Linked DNA regions of Canis lupus familiaris. The protein of the gene in region 3 interacts with the protein of the main gene of each other region in a pairwise test. Links are inferred from orthologs where the notes say so. Each region holds a gene or a part of one and is shown on either strand. Other genes may lie near its edges. The genes, in order: PDCD7, PAM16 and FEZ1.

The links.
Region 1: the proteins of FEZ1 (region 3) and PDCD7 interact in a two-hybrid assay, tested with the Homo sapiens proteins (2 studies listed by BioGRID and IntAct). The link is inferred for Canis lupus familiaris from reciprocal best matches to the Homo sapiens genes FEZ1 and PDCD7.
Region 2: the proteins of FEZ1 (region 3) and PAM16 interact in a two-hybrid assay, tested with the Homo sapiens proteins (2 studies listed by BioGRID and IntAct). The link is inferred for Canis lupus familiaris from reciprocal best matches to the Homo sapiens genes FEZ1 and PAM16.

What each region holds. Positions count from the first base shown.
Region 1 is NC_049251.1:29,928,810-29,932,457, reverse strand, and holds part of PDCD7 (programmed cell death protein 7), read left to right. Parts: intron 1-944; coding exon 945-1,083; intron 1,084-3,648. UniProt on the Homo sapiens protein: Promotes apoptosis when overexpressed.
Region 2 is NC_049227.1:37,332,447-37,336,194, forward strand, and holds the start of PAM16 (mitochondrial import inner membrane translocase subunit TIM16), read left to right. Parts: upstream 1-1,059; 5' UTR 1,060-1,213; coding exon 1,214-1,216; intron 1,217-1,608; exon of another isoform or gene 1,609-2,035; intron 2,036-3,748. UniProt on the Homo sapiens protein: Regulates ATP-dependent protein translocation into the mitochondrial matrix. Inhibits DNAJC19 stimulation of HSPA9/Mortalin ATPase activity.
Region 3 is NC_049226.1:9,050,511-9,054,158, reverse strand, and holds part of FEZ1 (fasciculation and elongation protein zeta-1), read right to left. Parts: intron 3,490-3,648; coding exon 3,321-3,489; intron 140-3,320; coding exon 1-139. UniProt on the Homo sapiens protein: May be involved in axonal outgrowth as component of the network of molecules that regulate cellular morphology and axon guidance machinery.

The DNA.
Region 1 (3,648 bases), on a different chromosome or scaffold from region 3:
TCTGAACTGTCTTGAAGGACATGTCAAAGCCAAGTGAAAGCAACAGGTGCAGTTCTGGGCAGAAGAAGGAAGGAGTATGGTGTGGTCTTAATGGTGGGATTATAGGCACTTATTGGATAGATGGAAAGAGAGCTTTAGGTAAAAGGATCTTCCTTACCACCCACAGTAAGGGGATTGGAGACCAGATCCTGTGAGTGGTGGTTTAAGGAACCAGAGTCATTTTGTCTACATGTGAACCAACTTAAGAAGAACATTCAGGATAGGATCTTAGTGTTTGAAAGGCTGTCATGGCAAAAGATCTAGGCACCTAACAACACTGGAGTCCGAGCTATGTGCGTTGGGTGTCACTGACAAATTTCGTAGAGTTCTGGGCCCTTCCAACCCCATTTCTTGTATTCTCTCCTCGTCTCAATCTTTGGGTCTAGGAGTCTACATTTTTAATAAGAGAGCCCCAACTTAAAGTTAGATGCAGATGTTCATTGGACTATGCTTGAAGAAACTCCAAGGAAGGAACAAAGGTCAGCATCCATGTGGAAACTTCAGAGAAGATACTCCCTGGCTGGACCAGTGTGGGAGAGGAGTTGTGTACAGCCCAGGAACTTGGAATGGAGATCCAGTAGAAACTCAACCCCAGGACAGTCTGATCTTCTGAAATCTCACTGCTGGGCAGCTGTTCTCTGCTTTAAGACTGTTCCTAGGGCAGCCCGGGTGGCTCAGCAGTTTAGCGCCGCCTTCAGCCCAGGACATGATCCTAGAGACCCGGGATAGAGTCCCACGTCAGGCTCCCTGCATGGAGCCTGCTTCTCCCTCTGCTAGTGTCTCTGCCTCTCTCTCTCTCTCTCTCTCTCTCTCTCTCTCGAATCAATAAAATCTTAAAAAAAAAAAAAAAAAAAAAAAAAGTATTCCTAATACTAGGTCTGTCTCATGGACCCGGTCTTTTCCAGGAACAGGAACTGAAAGCTGCAGCTGATGGTGTCTTATCTGAAGTGAGGAAAAAGCAGGCAGATACCAAAAGAATGGTGGACATTCTTCGGGCCTTGGAGAAATTGAGGAAACTCAGGAAAGAGGCAGCAGCAAGGAAAGGTAACCATGGCTTTGCATTTCTACTTGTATTTATTCCTCTATTGCCTTGTTCCTTCCCTTGCTTTACCCTAGTGTCCACCCTCCCTCAAAATTTTTGAAGAAAAAAAAGTTTGATTATATTTAATTTTTACCCAGTAGAATAACAGCTTGTCAGCACCACCTCAGAACTTTTGAAGCAGAAGCCTGACTTTGTTTACTCCTTTTTGACAAGGTTGAAAAGAGAGGCAGGTGTGGGAACCCACTATACTGCCTTTCCCTTGACTCATCATTCCCACAGCAAGTGTTCTGGCCACGCTTTTGTGAGTGAGTTTGGCGTGGCTCGTCACTTTTGCCCATGTACAAAGGCAAAGGCTATCCTTTCTTTACTAGGTGCTTCAGAAGATGTTGAAAACTTGGCATGCCCTTCTGATATGTTTCAAACCTGAAACATTGATATTTAAAAAGGTGTGAGTGGTTGGACAGGGCAGGGAGTGCCTTGCAAACTGCATGGGTGTCCACTTCTGTACTTTGGGATCAGAAAACCTGAGTCCTCTCCTCTTGCCTCTAGGGGGAGCACTAGTTTTGGAGAAGCTCCCTAGTTGTGCTTTCAACATTTGCCTGTCTTGATCTTTGCTCTTGCAAGTCTTTTTGTGTGGAGGGCCCTCAGTTCCATCTTTTCCGTTTTAAGCTCTCACTATCCTTCAAAACTAAATACAGATGCAACATCCTCCATCCTACATCCTTCCCTGATCTGGATTGAGGTGACCTCCTTCTTACTTGCACCGGTTTGGACTACAAGCTGCCTTATTTAGTAGACTATAGGTCATTGATACCAACCAGGGATATTTGAGACTACACAAATTAGCAAGTACTGTGATAGCAAATGACTTCCCCTGTGTGGTTTAAAATATAAATGAAACCTGTGAATCAGACCCTTAATAAAGTTCCATTGGGATATGACCATTGTGTATTCAACCCAGCTCACTCACTAGCTAAGTGATTAGCTTCTGCATGCCAGGCTTCAGAATAGCTAGTTCAAATTGAGGCTTCAGAAGAATATGACCCCATAGTGCATTCATGAGTCAAAGGGGAGTTTGCATCTACTAGGTCTACCCTTATCTCTTCCTTGGGGAATGAAAACCTGAGGGCTGTTATTTAATATTCTTCTACTCCATGTCCTCTGTGAGGAGAGTATTTAGTAAACTTTTGCCAAGTGAATTTCGTAGCATAATTTCTCACTATTTGTCTTCTTTATTTTGGTCCAAAAGGAGGAGGAAATTTCGGAGGAATTGTGATCTATAAAAATAAGCAGCCTCTTTGGAGTTAATGGTCTTGAATATAAAATGATTTGGTAACTAGCAGCTAGTTGCATCATATATTTAAAACTTTTCTCTCAAGGTGTGTACACCTTCAGCTAAGGGCTGAGAGAATGAGGCCAGATATGTAAGCAGGGCCACATTGCAGTACCTTAGGGGCCAGACTAGACTTCTTACCTATGCTTAAAAATGAGCAGAACCATTGAAAGATTTTAAGCAAAAAGTGAAATGGCAGCAGTAATCAGTGCTGGTCCAGGAGAGAAAGGAGGGAGCTCTAGGAGGGAGGGAGAAAAGGAGAGACACTGAGAAGGCTATTCAGTAGTCTGGGCACGGATAATATAGGAGTGTGAACTAAGGGTCAGGTGGTGACTTGGAGAAAAGTAAATGAACTTAAGAAATACAAATAAAGGAGAGGGGGAATGTGTAAGTAAATAACTTGGGGAACAGACTTGGGGTTGACGAGTTCAGTTTGGGTTGTGTTGAGTTTGAGGTGCCTGTGGTACGTCTTGGATAAGAGGTCATCGGCATGTAGCCATAAATAGACATGACTTTAAGGAGGTTGTATAGTGTGAGTTGAGGGCCAAAATGACAAAATCCTAGGGAATGTCAAAATCCAGATGCATAAAGGGGTGGCCACAAGAGAGGTCAGAGAGATAGAAGGAGAAAGTAGGTCCCCTACCTCCTTCTGGAAAGTCCCAAATGCTCAGAGAGATTGTGTAATCTTGCTTGGGGAGGTTACCTAAATGTCTCTTTGCCTTAGTTTCCTCATCTGTAAGACAGGAATAATGATAGTACCTAAAAATTGAGAAATATCTGTGGGAATTAGTACCCAATAGATCATCAGTGAGCTATGCTAGGTGCAATTCACAGCAGAATGGTATGAGTAGAAGCCAGACTAGACTACAATAAAGAGGGAATAGGAGATAAGAAAACCAAACAGTGAGTTCAATTTATGAGAAGTTTGCCTGTGAAGACAGGAGAGAACTGATCAGTATCTGGCAATGCGGAAGGGCAAAGTGGTAATCTTAGGGTCATGGGAAAAATTTAAACATGTTTCATTGCTAAGCAAAGGAATGAGTATAGGGAGAGTATCATAGAGAAGCAGGAAGGATAGTTGATGGCTCAAGGTCCTGCAGGAGGTAGAGAGACTGATTGTAGGTGGAGGGATTAACTTAAGTGTAGAAGGATCCATCTTCCACTGGAATGAAAATGAAGGAGACAAGGATGGGTAGTCACACAAATGAGCAAAATCGGGGTTGAAAGTTAAGAG
Region 2 (3,748 bases), on a different chromosome or scaffold from region 3:
GCTGAGTGCCTCCCACGTGCCGGCCACCCATCCAAGAGTGGAGAAAAGAGGAAAGTCCTGCCCACCAGGGATCCACCTTCTGGGGGAAAGAACAGATTATAAGCAGCGCACATAAAATAAATGAATTCTATAATATGGCAGAAGGCGATGAGTAAGAACTTTGGGGGTAAAAATAGAGGGGACTGAGAGCCAGACACAGAAGCCACAGACAGGATGATTCCACTTCCAAGAGCTGTTCACAGGGGACAAACCATAGACGGGCCCAAGCTTAGTGGTCAGGGCCTGGGGGGGCGGTGGCCAGTGCTGATGCGAAGGGAGTTTGGGGGGTGGTGATGAAAATGTTCTGGTGTTCTGGTGGTGATGGTTGCACAACTCTGTGGATACACTAAGAAGCGCTGACTGAATTATGCACTTTAGTGAACCGGATGGTGTGTGAACTTTATCCCAAAGGGTTACTAAAGCACAAAAGAATGCGGGGCAAGTTGCAGCATTGGTAGCAGGTTGGGGTAGGCCTCCTTGGGAAGGTGACATCGAGCAAGCACTTGAAGGGGGAGAGAGAGAGATCTCTTTCCCAGATAGAAGGAAACTAGAAGGAAGCCCGTTTTGAGGTTTCCTGTTTTCTTTTTTTTTAATTTTTATTTATTTATGATAGTCACACAGAGAGAGAGAGAGAGAGGCAGAGACACAGGCAGAGGGAGAAGCAGGCTCCATGCACCGGGAGCCCGACGTGGGATTCGATCCCGGGTCTCCAGGATCGCGCCCTGGGCCAAAGGCAGGTGCCAAACCGCTGCGCCACCCAGGGATCCCAGGTTTCCTGTTTTCTTACATATTTGTGAGCCTTTGGCATCCTCCTCTTCGTGGGGTGTTGTATGTTTACTTCATGTCCTTTAGTACCAAATATCTTGGCAAAATCCAGGGAAGAGGTTGCTTGCCCCTCATTTGACAGATGTGTCTATCCTGGGGCACGTCGCGCAGCAGGGCGAACGCGAGGGCCACCGCGGGTCCTAGGACCGCCCATCACCTGAGCGCGGCTCCGCCTACCGCCGTGACGTCACGGGTCCCGTCCCGCCCCCCGGAGGGAGCAACGCGCATGCCCAGCGCGGCGTCACGCACGCGCTCTCTCTCCCTTGACCTCTGACCTGCCGGCCGCCTTTGAGCTGGGGCCGCGGGGCCAGGAAGCCGGAGCCCGCAACCCTGAGGCGGAGCGGCCAGCATGGTGAGGCACGAGCGGGCGCTGCCGGGCGGTGAGGGAGGCCGGGCTGGGGCCGGGGCCGGGGCCGGGGCCGGGGAGCGTCGCACCGGGAGGACCGCGGCGGGGGCCGGCGGCCCGGGGCCACGGAGGCCTCTCGCCCAGAAGGCGGCGCGGGCCTGGCTGGCCGGAAAATGCCCAGCACAGGCGGCCGCCGCGTGCCCCCTGCCGCGCCGGAGGTCGGGTCCAGCCCGGGAGCCCTGCGCGGCCGCGCGGCCCGTTGGCGGTGTCGCCCTTTGGAAACGGACGAAACGGGCGCCGAGACTTTGCCAAGGAAGTGGCTGGCCTGGGACTCGAGCGGGCCCCGCGACCCCGAAAGCTGAGCGTCTCCGCGTTTCCTGTGGCACCCGCAGCCAGTCCGCAGACCCGGGCCACGCTGGCGGAGACGAGTCCCCTGGGGACCCTTTAAACACGCAGCATCCTGAGCTCTGTCCTCGGAGGCAGCCGGTTTGGGGAGCCCCTTATTAACCAATAAGAAGGATAACACAAGAGCTTGCAAGGCCCCCAGGCCCTTGCACTGGAAGCCTCACGTGGATTCTCTCATTTAATGCTTGTGAAATGCATAGGGCCATGGTCCCCATTTCACAGAGTAGGAGCCTGAATCTCAGAGTTGGATTCCTCCAGGGTCGTTTCATCCAGCCGTGCCAGAGGCAGGTGTTGAGCCGGGTCATGCCCAACCCTTGGACCGCGGCCTGCTCACGCATTCCTGCCTGTAACTCTGAGCCCCCCTCAAGAGCCACGTAAAATGTTGCTCTGGACCAGTCTGTATCCTAAAGGAGGAATCAGGCAAGTCTGTAAAATAGGACAGAACAGATAGTGCTCTGGGAAGGTTTGGCTTAGAGGGAATATGGGAGTATTGTGTTGTCTTTTTTTTTTTTTTTAAGATTTTATTTATTCATGAGCGACGCAAAGAGAGGCAGACACACAGGCAGCGGGAGAAGCAGGCTCCATGCAGGGAGCCCAATGTGGAACTCGATCTCAGGACCCTGGGGTCACGCCCTGGGCCAAAGGCAGCCACCCAGGCATCCCTCCTGTTAAGTCTTGAAGGATGTTGGGTTTTGATGGAGTATCAGAGTAGTAGGGACGATGTAGTCAAGGTTAATGGGTATTGGGGGTTTTTTTTGGGGGGGTGATGAAAATGTTCCAGGACTAGTAATATTCTGTACTTTTTAGTGTGTTTACAGAGGTATGTGAATACCCTAAAATCACTGAATACTTGAGTGACTTGTATGGTGTGTGTGTGTTGGGAGACATGGGGGTAAAAGAAGTAAGAGCTGATCTAGAAGTAGATGGTGTGGCTGCAGGGCCGAGAGGTGAGGGGAGAGAAAACCAGAGCCGTTGTAGCTGTCCAAGGTGAGATTGCCCAGCTGAGAAGTGGGCTGAATTTGCAGGCCCTGGCCGCGGAGTTGTGTGTATTGGAGGATGGCCTGAGTCCTCCAGCAGAGGGAGCGGTAGGCATTTGGAAACCCTGTCTGGGGACATAGTTTTGCTGATGATGGCCTGGTTAAGTGTCACATTCATTCAAATACGATCGATTGGGCTGCCATGCCAGCCATAGGCGGGGGCGCCAGGTTTACTGTGGTCCTGACTGCCCTCCCGCCTAGTCGTGATGCCAGCAGCTGTTTGCAGGGGCTTTGGGGTGAACATCCTCAAGAAGGGGGTGAGTCTCAGTGGCAGTGTCTGCCCAGCAGCCCAGGGGCTGAGAACTAAGCTTTGAAGGGAACATTGCACATCTGAGCTGTCTGAAAACCAGGTTCCCTTCGTAATGCACCTCACCTGAGATGCGCCACATTCCTCCGTGTCCCCCAACGCTTGCCTGTGGTCTTCTGTCCCAGCTGCAGAGGTGTGGTTCTGCATTGGGCTATGTCGTTCCTCAGATGAGAAAGCAGATGTGTCATCCACAGTGGCTCCCAGGCTCGGCGACCTGTGTCTCTGACCTCTGCTCCTCGACTGGCAGCTTGCCCTGAGTTGGATGCCATGTCAGCTGACTGTTCTTGTCCAGGGTCTTCAGGCCCAAGTGTCAGTCAGTGGACTATGGGATGTTTGGGGACTTTCTAGGAGAGACCTCAGCCAGTGGCTGCCATCATCTCCTCTTGTAACTGGCAGAACAATGATCTGGCTGACCCACAGCTGGCACTGGGTACTGAATAGATGGATGAGAAGCTTGGCCATACTGCCTGATGTCTGGACCGTCCAGCACCAAGCAGGGTCTAGTCCAGAAGCAAAGGCAGCTGTTGGGCTGCTTTGAACCTGCCACTGACTGGTTGGGTTTATGTGGATTGCCTTCTGAGGACCTTGCAGCCTTCCTGTAAGGAAGGTATGATTCTCTCCGTTTTGCAGATAAGAAAACAGGTTCAGAGAGGTTGAGTAATTTATGCAGGGCCACACAGCTAGCGAAGACAAGCTGGGAGTCCAGGTTTAAGCTCCAAAGCAGTCCTCTCCCTCCTCTTCCACACTGCTTCTCAGTGCTCTTGGCACGGAGCCTGGCTTTTTGCAGCC
Region 3 (3,648 bases):
GAGTTCTTCACCTCCTTCTCAAACTCCAGCTCGTCCCGGCGGGCCAGCTGCTGCACCAGCTCCTCCGAGAAGTCCCGGATGGCGCCCTCCACCTGGTCCAGCAGCTCGGTCAGCTCCGACCCCGACAGGTGCCTCAGGCCTGCGGGGGCAGACGGCCCGCGGGTGACGGCTGCGTCCCAGCCACGGCCCACGCCCACCCAGCGGCTCCCGGGCGCTGCCCAGGGCTCCCTGCACCCCAGCTCCTTACGGGGCGGGAATTCAGGGCCGTGCCGGGAAGGAAGGGGCCCGTGTGCCAGCAGCAAAGTGAACACTGCTCTTGGGGAAACAAAGAGGGAAAAGGAAACAGCCCCCAGGGGGGCCCGTGGACCCTGTTCACAAAACTGTGCATAGACAGACGTGTGGCTTTGTGATCCCGGAGTCCTCCTCCTATTTTTCCCCTGTTCCTATGAGATCCCTAGTGCGAAGCAGGTGAAGGATCAGGGGGAGAAAACATTAAGAGGAGGTTTCTGGCATGTGTGCTGAGAGCAGTAGAAAGGTGGTGTGTGTCCCAAGAACAGAGCAAGATACACCCGGCCAGCAAAACAAGCACAGGGATCCAAGGCCCTCTGCACCCCTGTGGCCCTGGGTGGCGGGTGCAGATATTAGGGAATATAGGAAACATGTGGCCGGCTGGCTACAAATATTAAAAAATGCAAAAAAAAAAAAAAAAAAAAAAAAAAAAAAAAAAAAAAACAAATATTAAAAAATGCACCCCAGGGCAGCCCCGGTGGGTCAGTGGTTGAGCGCCACCTTCAGCCCAGGGCCTGATCCTGGAGAACGGGGATCAAGTACCTCGTCGGGCTCCCTGCATGGAGCCTGCTTCATCCTGCACCATTATCCCTCCAGACTGATGGCTTTTGTACTCAATTTTGCCCTCACTGTGTCACATCTTTTCCTATGTCTCTGCTTGTGTCTCTGCCTCTCTCTCTCTCTCTTTCTCTCTCATGAATAAATAAATAAAAATCTTTTTTTAAAAAATGCAATAAATAAATAAATAAATGCACCCTGGAGGAACCCCTGGATGGCTCAGTGGTTGAGCGTCTGCTTTGGCTCAGGTTGTGATCCTGGGACTGAGTCCCATATCGGGTTCCCTGCAGGGAGCCTGCTCCACCCTCTGCCTATGTCTCTGTATCTCTCATGAATAAATAAATAAAATCTTAAAAAAAAATGCACCATGGCTAGTTGGTACAGAGTCTGCCATTAGAGAAAAGGAAAGGGAACCTGAGATGCTGCAATACAGAGGACTGTATCTTAAGTTTTTGTCCCTTAAGATTTCTTCACTGAAAATAGATCAGGGTGGGGGGAGTGTGTCCTGTTGGCTCTGTTTGTAGAGCATGCAACTCTCGGTCCCAAGATTCGGAGTTCAAGCCCCAGGCTGGGCAGAGAGCCTACTTACAAAAAAAAAAAAAAAAAAATTGACTGGAATGGGGGTTTGGGTGGAACATCTTTTCAAATTGGTCCCTAACATCTTTTGTTTTTGCCCCAGAATCCGTTTTGCTTTTCTGTTCTGTTTCTGCTGTGGCCTGTGGATGTGCTGACTCGGTTCGACCTCCTCCTTTATTCTGCTCTTTGGAGCTGTCCTCCTCCTTCTGCGTTTGCCATTTCACTGTACACTTCAGCTGTTTTCCGGAGTCTTCCGCCGAGCGCAGCTATGTTTGGGGCCTTTGTGTGGCTGAGAACGGCCTGAATGCAGCTCCGCAGCCAAATCTGCCCCATCATTCCGAGCACATTCCTTCTGCTTTTGCCCTCGCCCAGCCTCTACTCCCTTAGGGCCACAGGGTCTCATTTTCAGGACACATTTCCTCAGATCAGGCCTCGATTTTTACCACCACTCTATCTGGACCTTGACACCTACCCAGCCCTCCTTCCCTTGGCGGCGAGCGCGGGCCCCTCCTGCAGCATGGGCACCATTATCCCTCCAGACTGATGGCTTTTGTACTCAATTTTGCCTTTACCGTGTCACATCTTTTCATTTCACGCCTCATCCACCTCTTTCTTTGCGTGATCATAATTACCATGAACCTGTGTCAGAGAGCTAACACGACACAGATCAGGAGTGTGGGATTCTGGAGTGAACCTGCCCCGCTTCACATGTGGGCTCCACCCCTCACCACCTGGATGTGGTGTCAGGGCAGATACAAAAAAAAATAGGAGGCTTGGCTCTCCCTGCTGAAAATAAGGACAGCAAGTTTCTCTCCCCTTCACCTGCCTGTTCTTTGTGAACACCCTCCTCTGTCCTTTGCAGATGGACGCCAATCATTTTAATGGCAAAATAAGCCTCTTGTCAGCCTCGGGACTCAGGAATGTTTCCTCAAGCACCCGGGAGTCACAGCTTGGAAAAGTAATCATCGAGGAAGATGACAGGCCCCTAACTAGTCCCCCTTCTCCAGATTGCTAAACCGATTTAATGAAATGGGTTGTATCCACTTAGCTGCAGACGAGAGTAGGATTTCTTTCTGGCTTTGCAATCCCTTTAGCGACTTGCCTGTGATGGGCGCTCGGTTCTGGCTTAATGCTTATTCAATAGTAAAATTGTTCTCTTTCTCTTCTCCTTCTGTGGAGAGGTTTTCTGGGTGGGGAGGAGATTTTGTTTTTTGTTTGTTTGTTTTATTTTTTTAAGATTTTATTTATTTATTCATGAAAGACACAGAGAGAGAGAGAGAGAGAGAGAGAGACACAGGCAGAGGGAGAAGTAGGCTCCATGCAGGAAGCCCAACCCAGGACTCTATCCCGGGTCCCTGGGATCATGCCCTGGGCTGAAGGCAGTGCTAAACTGCTAAGCCACTCAGGCTGCCCTAGATTTTGTTTTTAATTATATTTCCCCTAATAGTGGCATCGAACAAGTCACTTAGCCTCTCAGCATACTCAATTACCCCAATCCTAATGGAGTTGGTGTGGGGATGAAATGAGATTATGCACAGAAATTCTTTGAACAGGGTCTGGCACGTAGCAGGCATTCCAAAAATATCAGCTCTCGTGATTATTACCTTTTTTGTTGATTTTATGGTAGTATCATTTTGGACAGCGGGTTTCCGATTTCTTCTACTTAATCTGCTTTAGTCTTGTTCTTTGGTTAGTTTTACCATTTTGATTTTGCTCGATTGCCTTTCCCCCATCCCACCCCCCAAAATTGCTAACTTCTGTCCTGACACCCAGTTGGAAAGGCATTGCCAACTCCCTGGATTTGAGGTCCTATTAGCTACATGGGAAGCCTGTGCCCACGGCCTGGCCTGCAGGCAGCAGTGTTCATCGTTGGCACACCCACCTGCCAGGCCCCTCACCTTCGTAGGACCAGTTGTTGTTGAAGGTCTGGGTCAAGGCCTGCATCTCCTGCAGGAGGACCGAGTCTGCCTGGGAGGAGGTTTCTCCCTCATCCTCCTCTTCTAGAACCTCCTCTTCTTCCTCAGGGTCTGGGGAGTTCTGCATCATTTCTTCAATCTCCTCAATCACCTGAAGAAGGTACGCAAGAGAATGCTAACTCTGTTCTCTGCTGGAGGAACATTCCAGCTCGAATTTTGATCAGTTAAGGGTGTTTCTACATTGCTGCCTGTAAAATTCCTAAAGCAATATTGTTATTTAATACATATTGAACAATAATAAAAATAGATC